Linked DNA regions of Elephas maximus indicus. The protein of the gene in region 2 interacts with the protein of the main gene of each other region in a biochemical or structural test. Links are inferred from orthologs where the notes say so. Each region holds a gene or a part of one and is shown on either strand. Other genes may lie near its edges.

Region 1 (8,000 bases), on a different chromosome or scaffold from region 2:
AACATTAAGAAGAAAAAAAGAATGAACTACTGGAACTGAACCTTGGGCTTTATCAAATGCAAACCATTCATGTACTGTGCAATAGGGAGGTCCAGATCTTTACAAAGGTGATGACTTAGACAACTTTAATCTTGCACCAGAGTCAGAAGTATGTTTAAATTCCAGATATGCCACTAGCTATGCCACCTACGGGGCCATATATATGTCACTAAATCACAAGCAGCACAATATAACGGTTAAGAGCACACACTGTCTGGACCAACTGGATGTGAATTCCAGTTCTTAGTAGCTGTGTGTGACACCTGACCAAATTATTTAACATCTCTCATTTATTGTCTTCACTTTACAGTATTACCTAACTCCAAAAGGTGGTAAGAGAGGGTAGAAGGGTTAGTTAATATCTATAAAAACACTTAGAACAATGTTATATAAGCATTTACTAAACAAACAGAAATTTCTCAAGCTCAAATTTCCTCAATCTCAAAATAGGTAAGAAAAAATTTGCTCTGCCTACCTCATAAAAAAATTTTTTTTTCATAGGTTGTGGCTATTATGAATACAAAAATATTTTGTAAATTACAAGATATAAAAGCATAAAAGGTTATTAGATTACAAGGATAGGGACAAGGCCCTTATTTTCACCTTCTTTAATCCCTCACAATATCCATGAAGCTGCTGGGGTGACAGTGAATATTTACTGAATATCTACATTTTCTTTAAAACTGGAGTCATATAGCTCAGTACTGAAGTCACTTCTGAGGTCTACCCTTCAGCCAAAGATTAGACAGGCCGGTAAAACAAGACAAGACAAAAGAGGGCACACCAGCCCAGGGGCAAGGACTAGAAGGCAGGAGGGGACAACAGAGAACCTAAGGTCAAGAAAGGAGAGTGCTGACATGTCCTGAGGCTGTTAAGCGTTTAATAAGAAGCTAGTTTGTTCTGTAAACCTTCATCTAAAAGACACACACACACACACAAAACCGGAGTCATAAATGGATGAATATGAATAAGGTGTACAGTACTCACTCATGGAAAAGCCTGCTGTAACTTAACCAAAAAGAAGTCTGTTGCTGATTCCGACTCATAGCAACCCTACAGGACTGAGGAGAACTGCTCCATAAGGTTTCAAAGGAGTGGCTGTTGGATTCGAACTGCTGACCTTTTGGTTAGCAGCTGAGCTCTTAACCACTGCACCACCAGGGCTCTGCTATAAACAGTACTGGGTCCCAATGAGAGTAAAAATCATTTAGTTCAATTTGAGCTTTTAAGAAGCAATAAAAACCCAACCCATTGCCCTCCAGTCAGTTCTGACTCATAGGGACCCTGTAAGACAGAGTAGAACTGCCCCACACGGTTTCCAAAGAGCGCCTGTGGATTCGAATTGTGACGGTAGCTCTTAACCACAGCCGCCAGGGTTTCCTAAGAAGCAATATACTATAACAAAAACGCCAAGCTCCCAAGCCTTTACATTACAAGTCTCCAGTCTCCAACCTCCCTTCTCTGAAAAACAGAAATATAATTTTTGGACTCTTCCTATCTTTATTTGTGGTAAATATTTATTTGTGAGAAATAGTTTTGTTCGAGTTCACAACCAACAAATAACACAAAAAGACTAATTTGCCACATACATGCTTTCACAGACCGGAAGCAGAACCACAAAATAGCAAACACCGGAGTCCCATAAAAAAATCCTGAAATACCCTTTTCCTATTAGCAAACAAAATGCTGCGGATGAAATCTCAAAGGTTATTTCATGAAAATGCAAACCAATACCTTACCACCTACTCAAATGCAATTTGTGCTACCAGGGCACAAGTTTTGCCAGCATACATCAAATGGCAATCTGTCTTCTGTTGAAATTAACGTTAAAGCCTAGGTTAAACCTTTCTCCAAGGCAAACTGGAAGCGAAATTCTTTCTAGAGTTTGGAGTTTCCGTAAGGTAACAGGGTCACAAAATCAGGGAAAGCAAGAGACCAAAAGAAGGCAGAAAAGAATCCTTCCAGGAGTCACTAGAAAATACCACTGCCGGCTGCTGAAACAAGTATTTTGAAAACAAAACTTCACCACAAGTCCTATTTTTTTCGGTATTAAGTATTAAAAGGAATTAAAAGGTTAAGAAAAGAGTATCAAAGACTATAAATTAGATGGGCTCTTAAAGTTCATCTAGCTCACAGCTCGCCTGGAGTAGGAGACCCCAGTACCCCAAACAAAGGTACTGCTATCCAGAACAAGGGATACAATACAACTAAAAATAAGGAGTAGAGGAGGCGAAGAAATCGGAGAAAGGGGCTCAGAAAGATACAGGCCCGCTGACGGCTGCACGGTGCTCCCCGAGAACGCTCGTCAGCCCGCTAGTCCCTCCAGCCCCTTCTGCCTCACACCCCTCCCCACCGTCCCAGGCTTGGTAAGAGCGCGCACGCGCAGCAAGTAGAGGGTGCGCGTGGCGACGCGCAGGCGTAAAGTGGGCAGAAACAATGAGCTTTGTTGCCGAGGCGGCAGCGGGGGGCTAGAGAAAGGGTACGGGGATGGGGGTGGGGAGTGAAGAAAGGGCTTCGGCAAGGGTGAGGAGATACCAGAAAGTGCTATCCCGACAACCCCTGCGCGCCACGGGGGACCCGGATAGAAATCTGCCAGAACCAAATCATAAATAATAATGACAATGAGAAAAAAAGCAACGGCCATTTCTAAAAGAAGAAAGAGACGAAGTCAGCCCAAGCTTGTCCCTCACACTCAGCGGAAAGGGGAAAGAAACAACAGAGGCCGTACGGGGACGCGGTGGCTATCAATCCGTGGAGACCCTCTAGGCCCCTCAGGCGTCGCCGAGGTGCTGTGTCTCAACCGCCAGGGCCGCCGCACCCTTCTTAATCCTCCACCCGAAGGGACCCCCTCACCCAGTGCACCGCAGCGGGAACGGCAGCCAACGAATCCTGTCGGCCTCCGCGGATCTCCACAGGCACCGCCGCTCCCCCGCTCGACGTGCGCTTAGCCCGCCACCTCCCTTCTCCAGTCCAAACAAACACCCAAGACCGGAAGTGACCTCACTTCCGCCACCACGACAGGCCCCGCCCCCTCTTTCTGTCAGCGCTGCAGCCAGAGTCCGCTAGAGAGCGCGCGAGAGAACACGCGACCCCCAAAGTTTCTGCGTCCCCCGAACGTTGCACACGTGTGCACGCGCCACGGCCTTTCCTGCAGGATATATTGAGAGCCCTGTTGTGTTCCCTCTGGGAGGCGGGAGTAGGGCGGGTTCACTCTCCCTACATCCGCCCATCTTTCGAGAAGGATAGGACGCAGTGGGTGGGGGATGTGGATACAGAAACAGACCCTGACAAACACACAGATCTGGACCCTTACATATCCCAGTGGTTACCACACACACACACATACTGACACCAAATAGGGACATCTAGACAAAGGCATGGAACCCTGGTGGCACAGTGGCTAAGAGTTCGGCTGCTAACCAAAAGGTCGGTTGTTCCAATCCACCAGCCACTCCTTGGATACCCTATGGGGCAGTTCTACTGTGTCCTATAAGGTCGCTGTGAGTCGGAATCCACTGTACGGTAACGGGTAGACAGCGAAACTTTGTACCCACACACCCAGACCCACACCCCAAAAATGAGTGTCACGCTAAGTGATATGTACCGAGTCACATCCAGAGATCGTGACACAGAAATATGATAAACATAATAAACTAATACAGAGATATACTGATTATCTACAAGCACTTGCCCTGAGACACGTATGGGCACACAAACACAAAGCCGGACCATTATGTACAAACGCAAAATTTGAATACATGGTTCCCAAGCAGCCTATGGAAACCTTTGTGGCTGAGAGGGGAAATCCCTGTTCAGAGACATCCTGGATAAGACCTTAGGGCCCATGACTTTTTTAGCCCATGATCCTGGATGCAGTACACCCCATACGTTTATTAATCTTATTCATGCTTCTTTACTATCATTGGCAAGCTCCAAGTTACATTTTAAAGTGAAACTAAATACACAGAATAGTGTAAGAAAATTGGATGTTTGAATACGTATACATTGTATTAGAAGGGGACACACAAAAACGGGTAATTTCTTGCCTCTTGGGAGGGCAAATGAGGGACTGGGAAACATTTAAGATTTACCGTTTATTGTAAATCTTCTTGTTACATTGGAGCCTTTTTTAAAACTGTTCTTGCAAGAAAAAAAAATTCTTTTCATGAGAATGCTTGAATCCAGAAATAGGGCTAGTTTTCTTTAGAACCGTTTCATTCATTGAAAACCTGTTTTGTGTTAGTTCCAAAGTCCCAAATAAGGAACACAGGTGCTGTGCTTTAGTCCCCGTCTACCACTCTGGCAAGATTTTGTCTCACATACTTTGGGTATATTATCAGGAGGGATTGGTTCCTGGAGGGCATCGTGCTTAGTAGAGGGTCGACGAAAGAGAACACAACCCTCAACGAGGTGGATCGACAGTGGCTGCAAGATGGGTTCAAGTATAGTAACAATGGTGAGGGTGGTGCAGGACTGGGTAGTGTTTCCTTCTGTCGTACATAGCGTCGCTGAGTCCGAACCAATTCTACAGCACCGAACATCCTAAACTTAGAGGAAAGGTTTGGTTTTGCTGCCTGTTCTGGGAGGAAAGAGATGATACTATTATCATTCTGTGGAGTATGTTACATCCAAGGGGTATAGGAGAGGTACCTGGGAGATAAACCTCACAGGTTGGAAGAGGCATGAACAGGATGGGGGATACCAAAAATCAAAATAGATGGAAGCTGGATAATCTGTAGTGGAAACCCTGGTGGCATAGTGGTTAAGTGCTACGGCTGTTAACCAAGAGCTCGGCAGTTCAAATCCGCCAGGTGCTCCTTGGAAACTCTACAGGGCAGTTCTACTCTGAAGGCTCCTCTTCCACTTGTGAAATGGGAGTTCACAATACCCATGCTATCTTTGGATGGTAGTGATGGTCTATGCATGGAAAACACTGTCAATAGAGTGAAGGCTAGTCAGCAATTTGCTAACGGTGAGGACTGAGACACTGCGACGGGACTAGCAGAGGCCCACAGTTTAAAAATACTGTGGAGATTCAGCTGCTTGGTTTGTAGTAACAATCTTAAGTATTGGAGTAGAAATCAAGATGGTAATGAAGAAGCAGGATGACTAGGAATAGGCTTCCACTCTGAAACTCTTAGCACCTTCCTGAACAGCTCTAATTTTTATGAAAATACAAAATATGTACACCTTCTGACCCAAACACCACACATAATCTACCCAAAGAAATTAGACATGTGTGAGGCATAGAAGGATACTCATAGCTATGCTCTGAATGCCAAAAAAACGAAAAGCCTATCAATAGGGAATTAAACTATGGTGTACTAGGATACCCACAATGCAGTTTAAGATAGGTGGCGAAATAGCATGTATAATGTTCTAAAATTGTCTATGTAAACACAGACATACATGGGTATAAGAGTAAATGAATGGTCACCAAAATATTGCCATCTCTAGGTGATCAGATTTCGATGGAATTTTACTATCTTCTGTATACTTTTCTGTATTGTTTGAATTCTGTATGAAAGCTTGAACTGCGTTTAAAAATAAGGGGGAAAAAAAACACTCTGAATTAAAATTTAACATAGGTTTCTACAGTAGCTTGTTAAGAGCCTTGTCCCCATGCTAATCTCACGAGGAAGCTGCGCAGACAATGGTAGCCCAGCATTACTAAATGCTGCATAAAGGCCTAGCAGTGTGGGGATGAGCAAAGGCCCCTGCTCTGAATGAATTTAACAATTCAGGTGAGGAAGTAAACATTCAACACTGAAAGCCTATGTGCCAGCACTGTTCTATGCACTGATACGCAGCAAGGCAGTAAGTAGTTATCTTTTCCTGGAAAAGTCATGCCCGAGTGTGGGGCTTAAAAATGGCCAGGACTTAAAAGGGTGGAATTTGTATATGTTGAGGAGGCAGGCTTTGCTGGATCTAAGAACTAAGTAGATGTGTAATAGAAGAGGGATCTGAGACATTTTGTGCTTATGAACAGCAGAAGCCACAACAGGAAAACAAATTAGGAGGTATTATTAGAGTCTTACTAACTACTTTACCAATAATCAACTTAAAAGGAAATTCCTTTCCACAAGCTTTCAGGCACCACACAAATTCGAAAGAATTCACAAAAACGGCATAAATGTGGGCTTATGCTAATACAGGAATCCCTGTGGGTAGTGCAAAGTTAGAGTATTTGCCTGCTAATGTAAAAATTTGAGTCCACACAGAAGTGCCTAAAAGAGCTTAGCAATCTACTTGCAAAAAACCAGATACTGAAAATCCTATGGGACACAGTCCTGCTCTGGCACACACGACAACTGGTTTTGTCCTTATAGAAGTGGAGCAAAAAAAAGCCCATGTAACAAAGGCAGACTGTTGGTAGCTGCCAAGAAAGTAGCTGGGAACTAACTGCAACTTCTGATTGTATGTAGCCAAGTCTTTTCGTGGAAAAAAGTCTCTCTCCTCAAATTTCCAGATGGCCATTAGCCATTGCTTCTAAGTTGAGCAACGAGAAATTGGTCACGTTTTTGACTGGCCAGGCAATGAGTGAAATTGGAAGAGCATCCATCCTATCAAACGTTAAAATTCTCCTGCTCTTGGTGTTGGCATATCCCATTTGGATCAGGTCCTTTAAGGCAACATCTCATCAATACTACCATGTATGAAGCAGTGTCATCACAGTTGATTAAAACCTGCACCCAATGTCAATAATTTCTATCCTGTGTATGCTGAGTGTAGGTATCCTCCTGAGGCGGAGGGGCTGACAGACGTTTATTGGCTTTTGTCTGTTATACCTAAGAGGTTGCCCTTTCCTTTAGTTTCCACTTTCACATTTTTCATACTTCCTACTGTGCACTTGACTTCAGAGTTCCTAAGTTGTATAAAAATTACATTAACTTTCTAAAGCTACAATGTTAAGTACAAGAAAAGGTCAGGGCTTAAAACCCCAAGCTAAATTCTTTAAGACTGTGAATATACTTTATTCCTTTCAAAACTGTTATTACCTTCTGACAGTTCTTAGACTTTTTAAAATTCATTTTCCTAAAGAATACTTTGATGGCATACCTTTGTATATTGAGCTGGGGTTAAAGTCCACATTCTTTTGAAGTGTAAAAAGCCAAGAAACATGCCTTCTGGAAAATTACTCCACTCTGATTCAAGTTCTTTGAATGTCAGGGAGAAATCAAGATTCTTAGAATCAACAGTAGAGCAACAGTAGGACTTTTATCTAATTACTACTTCTCCAAATGAGTCTAGCCAGTTTCAACTTCAAAGTATTATCAATCAACAGGTTGGATGCACCCAAGCGGTTAAGAGAGTAACCATTCTCCCTTTGCCATTCAGTAGAAACTATCTAATATCAAGCTGGTTCATGAAATCCTATGTTGTGACTGACTAGAGGTCCACTGTAGAAGATGGGAAAAGAAACCTGGTCAGGCTTCAGCTAATTCTCAAGACTTCACTAACCTTCCCGAGAAGGTATGAGTGCATGAAGTACCCAGAAGACTTGAACTTTTTTCTTGTTTCCAGCAAAACATGGAGAAGGGCAGGTCTGGGCAGTGCAATTAATTATAGAGGAAAGCAGTATTTATAGGGTCCGGAAACAAGTTTCTTCCACTGATTCATGGAAGAAACCAAACCAAACCGCCCTCCCACCCCAAAAAGGCTTTGCACAAGGTGTGTTCTCAAAAGAGGACAGTAGCGAGACCTGTTCTTCAGGCAATGTTAACTAAATCAGGACTCTAGTTACAACTATCTGAACACACTTTTATAGCTATAGTTAAAGCAATCATTCTCCTAATGTCTCTATTCTTGACATCACTACCTAGTAACCCGCTAAAAATGCAAATTCTCTGGACCCATCCCAAATCTAGTAAATCAGAAATTCCAGGAGTGGGGCCCAGCAATGTTTTAACAGGTTTTTCAGGTACTTTTGATGCATGCTAACATTTGAGAACCTCTGGTAT
Region 2 (7,821 bases):
GGACAATAATTAAAGATTTTTAACCTAGTATGTGCAGACTATCATAAAATTAGGAAGTTTGGGAACACACATTAAGAAAAAATATCAGGTGTTTTTCTTTGTGCTGGGTACATTTTAGATGTTTAAGACATCAGACTATTACACTGAACAAAATGTTTGACTTTTAACAGAATGTATGTATTTAAAGAAAGAAAATTTATTTGGAGAAGAAAATATTGGTGGTGGTTTCAGCTCAACAGTTTTCTTTAACTGGGCAATTTATTTACAGTACCATACTGCCTCATCAATCTTACTGCTTTTCAGGTAAAGAACAAAGTCTACCTATTTATAATTTTTCATCCAAAACTATCATTTATCATTTAGTTTATGACTATCACAAAAGACACATATCTTACAAAAATCAAGCTACAGTAGCACACTCTTTTCTATTACCAGAACTTAATAAGCTTTGATTAAGTTTTTATCTGAAGATGAAGATCTTCTGGGCTGCTCGTTCTGGATCATTAAAAGGGTCCAGAAAAACCAATCATGAATGGAAGCATTTTTCTCAAGCAATAGGTTGATCTTGTGCAACTCTGCCATGAGGCATGCAAAACAGATCTTTTCTTTTGAAGGGCAGACACAACAGCTCCCAGCACAAATCTACTATTCCAAAACTTAAGTTGCATGACTGTCTCAAATGCTGCCTTTACAAAACGAATCTTGACATTTTTACAGCTACTAGATACAAGTACCTAAATTTCTACCTACAGCACGTTTCTATTTACTCAAGTATCTGTCATATTAATGCACAGATTTTATAACCTAAATCAAATACACTTGTCTTTTTTCCTTATTTCATGGAATTAAAAATTCAAGATGGTCTCAACATTCTTAATATTGTATCTTGACACTATAGGAATCAAAATCAAAGCTGACTGTTTACACTCATATTGGAGGAAAAAAAGGCATCTGTAAGAAAGATACATGTAAATTTCTCAAGACAGCTGAAGCAAAAGGAATGCTCAAAAATAAACCAGGTGCCCAATACAATTGTACTATAGGTTTTGGCGTGCACAGCCAAGTGAGTAAGCTAGTCAGGATTCCTGATACATAACAGAAAATTGGGTTTAATATAGAAAACATGACCTAGTTCTCTCCTCCCTGGTGCAATTTTCTAAGTTACAGGACAAGTACTACTCACTTGGTTCTATAAATGACAGTAGAGCTATCCTCACTACCAGCCTGAATCTAAAGAAAATTACTTCTAAATTTACAAAGAATCTTATGTTGAAGTCTTAAAAACATCACTAAATAAACTCAAAGGATCAGATAACAAAATGTTAAAATAAATAACTTGAAGGTTATTTCCATATTTAAAGGAACTATGTGACAACTTAAAATGGTTAACATTTTCAAAAAGTACTCCAAAAGTTTCACAAGCATGTTAAATACAGTATGGCTACAGCAAAGATTACACAAATCCAACCCAGTGCTAAAACCAAGCCTCCAGTTTTCTGGACTTAAAAGTTGCCCGGCCGACCTGAGGCGGTTATACACATCAAGAAAGGCCAATATTTTAGCAGCAAGTTAGGCCTCTTCCTCCCTCCAGGAAGCGCATGACAAACAGGGCGTCATGCAACTTATGTCACCAGGTCACTTAGCAAAAATTATACCTAACTTCTAAACTTGGGACCAGACGGCCTATTACACTCACAAGAAATACACAGAGTAGTATTGGGGGAGAGGGAGGCTTAAATGCCCTACCTTCTGATCCTGTAAACATTTAGCCCATCATTCGATCTGAGTCCTAGATTCAAAGACATGCTTTAATGGAGGCCTCCCTCGACCTCCTGAGTCTGTTTTGCAACAGTAAAGGAACTTTTCCTGCTTTATCTCAGTTCCCTGTGAGCATGCGGCCCTGCAATTCAATATCCTAAACTGGCCGGGAACGGTGGAGGAGGGAAGGGGAGGAATCCATGGCTAAAACAGCCTTCTTATGAAAGACAAAAAAAAATACATATCATAATTCCTCCTCTGCCCACAGCAAACTCATCCTAGAAATTTACAGCGTGTTAAGAAGAGCAGCATTGCGAGCTGCAAACGCTAGGAGTTTTCCTTTGACTCTACGCACGGTTTTCAGCTGTCAAATTACAACTCAGGAAAACACTATCATTAGAATAAAAAGGGGAACAAAAAAAGCTCGCACCACAGGGGCTGGAAGGATGAACTGCCAGTACCGTTTCAAGACAGGGAGAGCAAAGGCAATCCGCCCCGCGACGCCCGCCTGAATTCATCCCCTCCCCGGGCAGGCAAGCCTCACTGCAGGGGCTCAAATTCAATAATAATAACAATAATCATGGCGCTTCCTCCCTCCCTCGCCGCCCTCCCTCCCCCGCGAATGCCGGGAATCGGCTTCTCCCCCCGGGATCTCCCAGGACTGGCAGCTCCGGTCCAGCTCTCCGGACCCAGCTCCCGGGAGCCGGGGCGAGCCAGCCCAGCCCTGCCCCGGCCCCCTCGCCGCGCTTCTCCTCTTCCCTCTCTTTTTACCTCCACCATCCCCCATCCGCATTGTCTGTCTCAATTCAACTTTGACTAATATGGATTCCTAGGGCCTGGGCCGGGAGGTAATTACAGCCCGCCCCCCCAACCCCGAGAGCTGGAGCCCCCCATCTCCGCCGAGTTCAACGGGGCCGCTCAGGGCGGGGGCTGCGGTGCGCTCTCCCGTCTACACCGCGGCCCCCGTCTACACCGCGCGCCCCCCGCATCCTACTGGACAAGAAGTTTGGCCCGGAAGGGGCCTAGCTCGGGGCCGGGAGGACCCCCCCGGCGGGCGGACTGCGCGTAAACACCGGCGCCCGTCCGGCGCGGCCCCGTGGGGGAGGGGAGGGCGCCCCTCCCCCCGCCCGCCCGCCCGCCGGCCCTATTACCTGTCATTGAGCTGGTCCTCGGTGCCCGGCAGCGGGTGAACCACGAAATGGATGGACGTCATGGTGCTTCCTTCTCGTCCTCCTCCCGAGGACTGCCCCCTCCGGCGCTCGCCCACCCCCCGAGACCCCTTCCCCTCCCCAAAACCCACTGCCGCCGTCGCCGCCTCCTAGTCCCCAGATGGAGGGAAGCAAATGCGCAGGGGCCGCCGCCGCCTCCCTGCCGGGCGTGTGTCGGCGGCCCGGCGACTCGGCGGGGCGGGCAGGAGGGCGGATCAACACGCCACCCGCTCCCCCGGCGACAGCACCAAAGAGTGCGAGGCCGGCGGCCGGGACCCGAGCCGCGGCACCGCCGCCGCCGCCAGCGGCAGCCGGGCGTCGGGAAAGGGGCGACTGGGGAGGGGGAGAGGGGCGGGCTGCGGGGTCGGTGTGGTCCCGGCGGCAGACGGGGTCCGGACTGGGGGAGGTGGGGAGGGAGCTGAGCCCGCACCGCGCGTCACTGGCGAGAAGCCGCCGCCGCCGCCACCAGCACCGCCGCCGCCATCTTCACTTCTGCCCCAGTTTCTCCGTCTCGCAGGCTCCGCTCCGGAGCGGCGGGGGCGGGGCGAACGGGAGGAGGAGGAGGGCGGAGACCGGCGGGCGGGGGCACGGCTGCGGAGGGGCGGGGCTCCGGGAAACGGGCGGTGAGGCCCTCTCGATTGGGCGGCTCAACGTTGTCGGGCCACGGCGCTGTAAGGCGCGTGAGGATTGGGCTGGTCGGCGCCCGAGCCCAGCCCTCCGCGGGGGGTGGGCTAGCTCGGAGTGAGTGTTCCGGGGAGCACGTGTTAGGGAAGGAGGAGGCGCAGGGGCGGCCCCGCCGGGGCTGGTGGGGAGTTCGGGAGGGAGGGTAAGTGTGTCCCGAGGGAGGTGGGAAGGGAGGGGGGCTCTTCTCTTCTCTCTCCCTGATTTCCCTGGGGCAACCCGAATTATTTTGCCGATCCTTCGGGGTGTTTTGTTGTTTCTCTTTCATCCGCGTTTGTACTTAAAGTGAAAGTGTAGTATCAGATAAAGGGCAAGAAATAAACAGCCTTTTATTTTATTGGAGAAGTAAGGTATTTATGTAAGGGCCTTACCTGAAGGTGATAGTAGGATCAGGGAACTGACTTTGCAGTTCTTTTGCAACTCTGGTCTCCGTAATGTCCCCCAACACCACCACCATCCCATACCGCCACAAAGAGAAAACGTGGACACAAAATAATTTACTGATCTAAATGATTCATCATTTTTTTATTATTGCTTTAAAGTGAAAGATGGTATATCTTTTCTACAAAGAAGTTCCTCAGCTTGTCATCAGTGGGATCATAACTGGAAGTACTTGAATGGATTTATCAGCTTTTTTTCTTGGAAAGCCAAATCATAGCTTTCTTCCCAAGGTTTCTATGATCTTTTTAAAAACTCAAGTACTTCTGAGGAACTCTAAAACTTAATGGCAAAAACTGAAAACAGTTCCTTCTTCCCTGACATACCTCTTAACCAGTCTGTGTGAATGTTAGTTAAATCAGGGGTCCTGTAAAATGTTAAGAATAAAATATCGCTTTTCCTGTTAATGCATTGCACACACACACACTCTTGCTTAGGAAATTTCCTTGTGCAAAGTATATGAAAATTTGTTTATAAATCAGAATAGACTAGGTAGCCTTTGAGACAAACAAGGGAACACTTTTGTAGGTCCCTTGCTCCAACATCGGCCCAGATTAGCTTAGATTAAAAGTGACTTCAAGGCTACTGTGTGTTAGAAACCCTGGTGGCACAGTGGTTAAGAGCTAGGGCTGCTAACCAAAAGGTCGGCAGTTGAGATCCACCAGGCATTCCTTGGAAACCCTGTTGAGGCAGTTCTACTCTGTCCTGTAGGGTTGCTGTGAGTCAGAATTGACTTGATGGCAACAGATTTGGTTTTTGGTATGTATTAGAAGTCCATGTGAGCCGTGGGGAGACAAGGTGGCCCAGTGGAGACTGTTGGTTTTAGAAACAGACCTGGATTTGAGTACTGGTTCTGCTATTTAACTAACATTATTATCTTGGGTAAGTTATTTAACCGATTGTAGCTTTTTTTCCTTCTCATTTGTAAAATGTTATGTTATTTTATTTAATGTATTAATAGAGCTGCAAAGAATTGTGATGGCGTACATATTGGACACCTAGAGCAGTTCATAACACATAGTAAGCTCAGCAGATAAAAGATTTTATTTGTTGAATGCTCACTTTGTACCATTTTATATACCTTTTATATGTATCAGATTGCCTTAGGGTGGTAAATGGTATTATCCCCATTTTGTGGATGAGAATACTGAGAGCCAGACACCTTCAATAACTTGCCCACGATGACATAGATGATAAGTCCTAAAGTTGAGACTTATACCCAGGTCTTCTGACTCTGATTCAGTTGCTCTTTCTACTATACCACAGCTGCTATTAAGTAGTTAATAATTTAGAAGGAACAGACTATTTAAAGCCAGTTGAAAAAGATGTGATATGATAAATGCAATAAAAGTACTATGGAAGTTAAAGGAGAAAGTGATTCCAGTGAAAAGAATTCAAAATCATTTAAGCTGAGCCTTCAAGAATGTTCTGGGCAAATAGATTACGTAGCTTAAATCCGATCCTTTTAGATTTGTCCCTGAACCAACTCCATACTTTGCCCATACCGTGCCTTATTTCTCTTTTTTTCCAAATCTGTCCTTCATCTTTTTATTTTGCCTCCACCCTCCTTTTGACCTGATTTACCCACTCCTAGTTTCCAGTGGTTAAGAACTTGGCTGCTAACCAAAAGATCGGCAGTTCAAATCACCAGCCACTCCTGGGAAATCCTGTGGGGCAGTCTACACTGTCCTATGGGGTCTCTATGAGTCAGAATCAACTTGACAGCAAAGGTTTCAGTTCAGTTAGTTTCCTTTAAGGACTAACGTGCTCCTGACCCAAGCCAAGGTGTTTTCAATCACCTCATATGCATGTGAAAGCAAGACAATGAGTAAGGAAGACCGAAGAAGAAGAATTGACGCCTTTGAAATACGGCCTGCCTTTGGCAAAGAATATTGAATATACCATGGACTGCCAGAAGAATGAACAAATCTGTCTTGGAAGAAGTACAACCAGAATGCTTCTTAGAAGCAAGGATGGCAAGACTTTCATCTCACATACTTTGGACATGTTATCAAAAGAGACCAGTCCCTGGAGAAGTACATCATGTTTGGTAAAGTGGAGAGTCAGAGAAAAAGAGGAAGGCTCTGAAGGAGATGAATTGACACAGTGGCTGCAACAATAGGCTCAATAATAACAATGATTATGAAGATGGCACAGGACCCAGCAGTATTTTGTTCTGTTATACATAGGCTTGCTATAGTCGGAACCAACGCAACAGCACCTAACAACAACAATGACAGTTTCTTCAAGGAGCCCTGGTGGTGCGGTGGTTAAGCACTCAGCTGCTAACCAGAAGGCCAGTGATTCAAACCACCAGCTATTCCACAGGAGAAAGCTGTGACAATCTGCTTCTGTAAAGATTACAGCCTTGGAAACCTTGTGGGGCAATTCTGCTCTGTCCTATACGGTCCCTGTGAGTTGGAATTGACTTGACAGCAATGGGAGTTTCCTAGAACTGTGACATACTTTCTTGGCAGCCCTTTCGAACTGCCTACTTGATCTCTGACTCACGACCATCTTGGCATTGCTACCTTTTTGTGGTCCCAGACTGGCATGTTTGCAACAATCCTCTTCTTCCAGGGCTGATACTTTGGTGGGTCATATTCTGAACCGGGAAAAAGAAGAACAAAGTCATGGAGTTGTGAAAGCCAATAGGATGCATGGGTGGAGTGGTGGGGGAAATGGAGATAGAGAAATAGAAATAAGCAGGACTCAAGAAAAACAATCTCTGTGAAGACTCAAAGCGTAATACCAAAAACAAAACAAAGCCTATTGCCGTAGAGTCGATTCCAACTGATAGCAACCCTATAGGACAGAGTAGAACTGGCCCATAGGGTTTCCAAGGAGAGGCTGGTGGATTCAAACTGTCAACCATTTGGCTAGCAGCCAAACTCTTAATGGCAGTGCTACCAGGGCTCCCAAAATATAAGGCTACAAAAGGAGGCTGGGGACTTACTAGTCCTTTGAATTAATCCTCCCTCTGAGGACAACTAGAAAAGTTGTACAAAATATTTCTTTAAATCTGCTTAAAGAAAAAGAGAGCTAACAAAATAATGATGACTTCCCAAGCCAGGATCCAAAGGAAGAATGAGACCCAGGGAAGTGAGTCCTATGTTTGGAGCCACTTTTTCTTCTAAAGATGAATGCCAGTTCTAGAGAGACAGGCTGAAAAGCCAAGAGTCTGAACACTTGACAAATGCTCCGGACTAAAACAACAACGATTGATATGCAGGGCCTCTTATTCTGTGCTGAGACCCTGAAGGGCTACACCCCTGAAATAGGCCAAGTCTTAGATTTGGTTTCCCAAAAAGCAGACCTTGAGACAAGGGTTTGACTATAAGTAGTTTATTCAGAAGATGATCCCAGGAAGCACTGTATGGGAGTGGAAACAAGGAAGAGAGAAAAGCCAATAAAAGGGGTTCTAGTGAATGTTTTACCACTGTGGGTAACTGGAGCTCTGTCCTACTGGAAACCCTCTGAGAAACTATGTGGGACACACCTCAGAATTGTCCCACTGAGGGGACAGGAAGCTAGGAGTATTTATGATCAAATCTGTCTTTCAGTAGAGGATTGCTCTCCTTGACCCTTCAAGCCTTCCCCACTTGTATGCAAAGCATACTCCTATGGCCAAAGAATACCACCAAGAATTTCAAAAATGAAAGTAAAAATATTAAAAAAGAAGAAGGTAAGAATTTTTTAGTACCCAAGCCATACTAAAATGCTAAAGGATATTTTT
Region 3 (7,968 bases), on a different chromosome or scaffold from region 2:
CAAATTATTGTATGAGACGGACTTGATTTGTAAACTTTCACTTAAAGCATAGTAAAAGAAAAAAAAACTACAATAAAAAAATTAAAAAAAAAAAATTATCCCCTGAAGCCATCGTTAAACAACTGTTTAGCTAAACCAGTAAAGAATGTTCACCATGAGAATTTTATTCTTTTAAAGAACTGTCTGTATGAGATCAAACTGTCAACAGTAACGCTAAAGCACAGATAAGAAGCTCAGGGGGTAAGGAGTCTAAGTCAATGGTTGTGGAACAACATGGGTAGAGAGAGCAAGAATGGTGACCCAATGTGGAGAATGTAGTCCATGTCATTGAACTGTATGGGCAGAAACCGATGAATGGATGTACGTTCTCCCGTGTATGTTTTCACCACAATTAATAATAATTAAAAAAAAAGATTACATAGTCCATTTTTTAGTTTGAAGATGTGGGGTCAACTTATTACATCATTAAGGTGTCTTTCCCCTAGAGGGCTGTGGTTTTGTTTGTTTGCTTATGTTTTCCACAATGAAGAAACTGAAATGGATCTAGAGCTAAACCACTTGCCTGAATACAGTTAATAAAAGATGATTTTAGCTGCAAAGCTTTACACTCAAGACATGGTAAATAAATGCCAATATCCAGGTATTAGAACTTTTCAGAGGCCTAATTACCTCCCGTTTCAACCCTTGCTGACCCATGGGAACAGCGGGGCTATAAAATCTTGTTGATTTTCTCAGGAGGTTTCTTCGCCAGGTTTATGAAGTGGCCTGAGAGAGCCGCGGCCTTGGTGAAACGATGACGTTACAGCATCACACCCACTGTAGGTCCACCTGCTTCTGCCTCTGGGAGTGGCTTCGCCCTTTAGCCTTCACCGCCCTCAAGCTGCTGACAATTAGCTGATACAGAGGAGACTGCAACACAGGGCCAAGGCAGGACAATCGCCCTCAAGTTGGGGCACTCAGATTCTAAAATTGCTCTGCTCGCCTCTGGACAGTGGGAAATTACAGAACTCCTCGTCCGTGAAGCCATTTTTTGTTATTTTATCTTACCGTTGTTGTTGAGAATATACACAACAGAACATACACCAATTCAACAATTTCTACGTGTACAATTCAGTGACACTGATTACATTCTTCAAGTTGTGCAACCATTCTCAACCTCCTTTCCCAAATCGTTCCTCCCCGTTAACATAAACTCACCGTCCCCTAAGCTTCCTATCTAACCTTTCGGGTTGCTATTGTCAGTTTGATCCCACATAGTTCTTTAAAAGAACACAATGCTCAAGGCAGACATTCTTCACCAGTTAAGCTAAACTATTGCATGGTTCAAAGAAGACTCGTTGAAGTCATTTTGAGTCTGGTTGCCCGTTATTTACATCTAGAAGCGTCCTGACTGAGCCAGGCCAACCCAGTCCACACCCAACTAAGACTCAGGAGACCTGGGTTGTTTCTGGTCTCTGCCCCTCTAGAGTCCCTGGGTGATACAACGGTTAATGTGCTCGGCTGCTAACTAGAAGGTTGGGGGTTCGAGTTCACCTTGGAAGAAAGACCAGGTGATCTATTTCAAAAAAATTAGCCACTGAAGACCCTACAGAGCACCTTTCTACTCCGACACATGCGGGGTTGCCAGGGGTTGGAGTCGACTCAACAGCAGTTGGTTTTTGGTTTGTTTTCCTTTTTCTTTTCCTTTTTGCCCCTTCTCAAACCTGTCTGGGTCTCACTTTCCTCACCCGGCAAGGGTGGAAGTGGAAGAGATACACTCGAAGGCCCTGTTGTGAGATGCAATTGGTTCCGACTCACAGCCACCCTATGTACAACAGAACCACCAGCTGAGGTACTTGCTGAGGGTACAGGGAATATGGAACGGGTGATGGAAAAAAGTAGTTCTAAATACCAGTTATAACCATGTGGCCAGTTGCAGAAATAAGGACTGTAATTGGTGAGAGTATTTCTTCCTTGTATGTGCACATCAAATATTTGTTTTCTTCACTCATAAAATATAAGATGTAAACGGGGATGGTGTGTTTTTGATTGTACACGTTAGTTGTATCCTGTTAGGAGCACGTATGACTTTGTAACTGTCTTTATTTAGAGATTGTGTATGGTTAAGGAGATATGTACAAGAAACAAGTTGACAAGGGGTGGACTATGATGGTTAAGGTTGTGGGTCAACTCGGCTGAGCCGTGATTCTCAGTTACATAGTGGCAGTTATGTAATGATATAGTCACCTCCATGATGTGAGCTGATATGATCACCAATCAGTTGTAAGGGGAATTTCCTTGGGGGTGTGGCCTGTATCCAATATATGGATGTTTTGGCAAAGCTCGCTGGCTTTTGCTTACTCTGGATCCTACATCCAGCTCGTCACCATCTGAACTCTGCTCTCGGGACTTGAGCCAGCTTCTTGCTGTATTACCTGCCAATTTTGGGGTTTGTCAACCTCTGCAGCCCGTGAGCCAGCAGCCTGCTATCTGACCTGCCAAACTTGAGTTCGTCAGATTCTCCAGCTACGTGAGTCAGGAGAAGCCTCCAGCCTGATGCCTGACCCATGGACTTGGGACTTACCAGCCTGTGTAACTGCATGAGCCATTTCCCTGAGATTTAAAAAAAAAAATTATACATATACATTTCACTGGTTTTACTTCTGTAGAGAACTAAGCCTAACACATCTGGTATGACAAATGTACCACAGTGCAAGAAACTGACAGACGAGTGGTGATCTAAGGCCTACTCAGCTGTAAAGTCATCTCGCTTCATCACTGTACACATTCACTGCTGTGGATTCCAAAGTCCATGATGGCCTTGATTTTGTTTTGGTTTGGTTTTTGTTTCTTTCCCCTTTTATCTGGTTCGGATGACTCTGACATCGTGTTTGCTGTCTCTGTTCTTGCTGGATGCTTGGGAATTCTTTGTTTGGGTGCCACATGCACAGATTATAACGGGTGGTTGAAGGAACAAGCTAAGTAGTTAGGTCCCCAACTACATTCACCACTCACCTGTCAACCTCTCGCACTGTGGTGGCTTGCAGGTTGCTATGATGCTATATGCCACTGGTATTCCAAATACCAGTAGAGTCACCCACAGGGGACAGGTTTCAGCAGAATTTCCAGACTAAGACAGGCTAAGAAGAAAGGTCCTTCCGAAAATCAGCCAGTGAAGACTTTACGGATCACAACAGAACACTGTCCAACATGATGCTGGAAGATGCAAACACACCAACAATCATGAAGAGGGCACAGGACCAGGCAGTGTTTCATTCGCTTATATACAAGGTCTCCGTGATTCGGTGCCAACTCGATGGCCACCAACAACAATAACAACTACGTAAGGCGAAAAGGACAGTTCATCAGTTAAGACCCAACAAAATTAAAAATTCAGATTTGCTGTAATTTTTTACAACCCTGACTTGGTTCTCTCCTTCATTTTGCACGTTGTAATCACAGCATCCTCAGATTTTTTCCAAAACCGCCCATCTTCCACCATTGCCGTTTATTCTGGGCCTTTGTTTGTATCTGACTTTTTGAGTTGATGGCAGTAGTTGTATGACGTGCTCCATCTGGTCTTGTAAAATGCCCATGCCATCCGCATGGGGCTCTAGACAGATGGACACGCCAATCAGCAGAGGGAGAGATGGGCCCTTGCCAACACTGCTCATCACAGACAGAGCCTTCGGGAGACTTCTTTGTCCTCTCCGGTCTTGGTTTCCTCATCTTTAAACTAACACAACCCTTCCAACTCAAAGCACCACAGTAACAATGTCCACCTTCTGCGAGTTCAACGAACAAAATGAGAACAAATTTGCCACTGAACACTGTTCCAAGCACACACCCTGATAAAAGACAGCAGCACCAGGCGAAACGTCGGCAGGAAGAACTAATTGCATAGTTAACACAAAAACAATCCAACTCACTTATCCTGTGGCGAGAAAATGGATCCACTTTGCAGAACGGTTAACTCTATTGGAAATAATGATAATTGCTTGGAAACTAAGCGAGACCCTTCTCAGTGCTCCCTGGTAACTATGCAAATTGTTCTTCCCACCGTGGTAACAGTGCAGCTCAGAACAAAAACCTCTTTTTTGGTCCATGCTGGGATAATTTCTAAAACTCAGGAAGTCTAACTCATACCTCCTCTTCCGAGGGGGTGGGGGTGGAGGTTCACACTGCCAAGATCTGGGGACAGATCATCAGAGGTGGGGACCCTGCCAGTACATCTTGCCAGAGACTGGGACATCTGACCTAATTGTCGAAACCTGAAATATATTTATGCTGAAATATCGTGAAAACTGAGGCCCTCACCACCGCCGTTCTCACATCCTGACGCAGAAGATGGTCGATCTTCACACACACAGAAAAAAAGCTAATTTTGTAATAAATGACTGCAGAAGCTGAGGGATAAAAGATGCCAACCCAATTTCAAATCTCCTAGAATCTAGACTTTCTGGAGCCATGAAACCTGGATGAACCCCTCAAAACCAATGCCCAGAGATAATCTTCAAACCTTAAGCCAAAAATAGCCCCTCAAATCTTAAAACTGGACAATAGTTTAGCTTAACTAGTAGTAAAAAAGATCTGCCTCAAGCATTGTGCTCTTTTAAGAACTGTCTATATGGAATCAAATTGGCCATAGCAACTCAAAAGTTTGGATAGGAATCCTGCAGGCAGTGAGTTTATGTTAAGGGGGATGAACAACTCAGAAAAGGAGGGTGAGAATGGTTGCACAACTCAGAGAATGTCATCGGTGTCACTGAATTGTACATCTAGAAATTGTTGAGTTGGTGTACGTTTAGCTGTGTAGATTCTCAACAAAAAAAAAAAAAAGATGGCAACCCATAGCCCCCTTTCAAGAACTAGCCTATGTGGTTCTGGAGCTGCAATCCAGAAAGACAAATGGTGAAGTAGGAAAGCAGCTTCCATTCTGGTGTTTGGGATATTTAAAGAAATAGTGAAATTGTTGAGAGGGTAAGAAATTTTCTCTGGCTACATGGAATCACAAACCAGTGCCAATGCAGGGGCTTTAGTTCAGTAAGTTGGTGTTTCCGGCAGGAAAATGATAAGTGGGGTGGTGAGGTCGGGGTGGGGGGACTGTGCCTTCTCACAGGTGATGTCGTTATTGGGTACCGTTGAGTTGAACCCATGTGACAGAGTAGAAGTGCCCCATAGGGTTTTCTTGGCTATAATCTTCACGAAAGCAGATCACCAGTCTTTCTTCTGAAGAGTCACTGGGTGAATTTAAACCACTGACCCTTCACTTAGCAACTGAGCACTTAACCATTGTGTCATCAGGGCTCCTTTCATATGAGGTAGATTCCATAATTCTTTAATTTTCAATTAAATTGGGTTCTATCTTAGTCCTATAGTTCTGCCTACAGTGGCCTGAGGTTTGGTGCCAGGAAGCTGTGATGCATCCCTGAGCTAGCACAGCCAGGCCCTGCCCGCTTTAGGGCATGGTTTCAGGCCTGGACTCCGCTCACAAGCCCTTTGAGGCTCCCTCTCCAATACCAGGCTGACTACTGGGGAGCCGAAAATCAATGAGGGACTTCCAGACTAAGACCGACTAGGAAGAAAGGCCTAGCAATCTGCTTCTGAAAATCAGTGGGTGAGAACCCTATGTTTGGACACCAACTTCTATACAGAGGTCATCAACCTCACCGAGCAGTGGATCCCATCGGCCATGAAGGTCATCAGACATCGGGATGGGCTTGATATTGTTGAGCTGTAGGTGGGGCCCAAGGTGCGTATTAGGGAAGCAATATATAGTAGCAGTCAACAGCATGGATGCTGGAGGCAGGCGCTTCAACTTATATCTTGGCCAAGTAGCTTGGTCAAGCCATAAACTTTGTTTCCTCAGTTTCTTCATCAGTAAAGTGAGAGTAATTATGGTACTTGCTTCATCAGAATTACAAGGATTGGATTTGGCCACCCAAGAAAATGCACTTAAAATAGTGCCTGGCATGTTTGAAGGCGTGGTGTTTCAGTGGTAGAATTCTCACTTTCCATGCAGGAGATCCAGGTTCGATTCCCAGACAACATAACTCATGCACAGCCACCACATGTTAGCAGAGGCTTGTGTGTTGCTGTGATGCTGAACAGGTTGTGATGCTGAACAGGTTGTGACGCTGAACAGGTTTCAGGGGAGCTTTTTTTCCAGACTAAGATGGACTAGGAAGAAACGCCTGGTGATCTACTTCTGCAAAACAACCGATGAGAACCCTATGCAGAGAGTCCTCAAGAGTCAGGAAGGCTGACTTCACAGCACCACAGTTTTTCATGGGTACAAATTTATTTAACAATTGGCTCCCATGGGGGGCTCAGCATGGAGAAGGGCTCAAAGAAGCAAAGCCAGAGTCCCCTGCCATCAAAGTGCCTTCCTCCTCACTCCTTTTAGCACCCTTCTCACTCCTTTTAGCACCCTCCGCACCTGAAATCATGCTTGGCACGTAGTAGATGCTCAGCAAATGCCTGCCAAGCAAACCCAGCTGGGCAGGTCTACAGGCTGCTTATGGCCACGTGCCAAGTGCATTGTGGGGGCAACAAATGCACCCAGTAAATGCACCTGCCCTCTGATAAATCTCCAATCATAGAGGAATGGTGGCATCACCTCAGGTTTCCGCTGAACTTTTTCCATATGCTTTCGCGTCTCCGCTTCTTCCCTCTCATTTCCATGAATTGGATTTATGTTTTGTACCTGACGGAACCACTCGTTTTTCACGCCTGACGCTGCCCTTCCCTTGCTCCACCAGCTCCCTAGTGCACGCACTGCTGGGCTGATCCAAAGCCACCCCAAGCAGGCATCTTTTCAGACCTACGTTGCTCACTTTTCCAAAAGCCCCTCAGTGCATTCCCATAATTGCAAGCATCAAGGGCTACGAGACCCATGCATATTCGATAAAATGGGCACGCTAAATAGCCAGAGTTGTTTTCACAGTCTTGTGAGTTACAGCCGAGCAAGTTCCTATTAGCAGGACGCGTGTTGTGAACGTTGGTAAACGCTGCCGGGGGGTTGGAGGAGCCTCATCTTGACAGCTTTGATAAGTGGCCTGACTCATTGCAATTTCAAGCCACTGAAAATATCTTTTTTTCATTTGCCCTTTGCTAAATGCTGAGCTGCGAACAAAATTCTCTCCTCCCAATCCAGGTACCTAATTTTTATTAATAATATCTTCACTTGATCCATCACTGTTAACTAACGGGAATATTTGAAGACATTAATGTAAACCTGGTGAGAGGTAACATGGCAGTCCATTACTCGATTCCTCCCCGTGGATTCGCAACACCAGCTGCATCGCCAAAAAGCCCTGGTGGTGCAGTGGTAAAGCGCTCAGCTGCTAACCCCAAGGTTAGTGAGAAAGATGTGGCAGTCTGCTTCCGTAAAGATTTCAGCCTTGGAAAACCCTACTGGCCAGTTCTACCTCGTCCTACAGGGTCACTACCAGTTGAAATCAACTCGACAGGAATGGGTTTGGCTGCATTACCAATGTGCTCAGGGCCTCCACCCGTCGGGGCTCAACTTCTCCTGGGCAAGGAGGCTGTGTGAGCGGAGGCTTCCTGACTGTGTCCATACCCTGGGCCAGATTAACCAGTAAGCAAGGTGCGCTCGGGCTTAATTGTGTCCACTTACTAATGTGGATTTCACCACATCTTTGGTGATGTGTGAGGTCAGCTGCCCTGTTGCAGGGTTCCTACTCCTGGCACCGGTCAGGCTCTGCTTCTTGTTAGTTGCCATCGAGTCAGCCCCTACTCATGGCAACCTTCTGTATACCAGAATGAAATGTAACCTGGTCCCTATACCAGCTTAGTCTTGCTTACTTTGGACAGGTTATCAGGAAGGACCAACACCTGGAGAAGGACATGATGCCTGGTAAAGCAGAGGGTCAGCAAAAACAAGGGAGACCCTTAATGAGATGGGCTGACACAGTAGCTGCAACAATGGGCTCAAACATAACTATTATTGTGAGTTGGGCACAGAAG

The links.
Region 1: the proteins of UBR5 (region 2) and PAIP2 form a complex in vitro, tested with the Homo sapiens proteins (2 studies listed by BioGRID and IntAct, with this or other methods). The link is inferred for Elephas maximus indicus from reciprocal best matches to the Homo sapiens genes UBR5 and PAIP2.
Region 3: the proteins of UBR5 (region 2) and PCK1 form a complex in vitro, tested with the Homo sapiens proteins (2 studies listed by BioGRID, with this or other methods). The link is inferred for Elephas maximus indicus from reciprocal best matches to the Homo sapiens genes UBR5 and PCK1.

Annotation. Positions count from the first base shown.
Region 1 is NC_064820.1:152,470,923-152,478,922, reverse strand, and holds the start of PAIP2 (polyadenylate-binding protein-interacting protein 2), read right to left. Parts: upstream 3,033-8,000; 5' UTR 2,893-3,032; intron 1-2,892. UniProt on the Homo sapiens protein: Acts as a repressor in the regulation of translation initiation of poly(A)-containing mRNAs. Its inhibitory activity on translation is mediated via its action on PABPC1.
Region 2 is NC_064833.1:39,565,972-39,573,792, reverse strand, and holds the start of UBR5 (E3 ubiquitin-protein ligase UBR5), read right to left. Parts: upstream 3,019-7,821; 5' UTR 2,972-3,018; coding exon 2,910-2,971; intron 1-2,909. UniProt on the Homo sapiens protein: E3 ubiquitin-protein ligase involved in different protein quality control pathways in the cytoplasm and nucleus. Mainly acts as a ubiquitin chain elongator that extends pre-ubiquitinated substrates.
Region 3 is NC_064843.1:11,697,553-11,705,520, forward strand, and holds the start of PCK1 (phosphoenolpyruvate carboxykinase, cytosolic [GTP]), read right to left. Parts: upstream 3,078-7,968; 5' UTR 2,995-3,077; intron 1-2,994. UniProt on the Homo sapiens protein: Cytosolic phosphoenolpyruvate carboxykinase that catalyzes the reversible decarboxylation and phosphorylation of oxaloacetate (OAA) and acts as the rate-limiting enzyme in gluconeogenesis.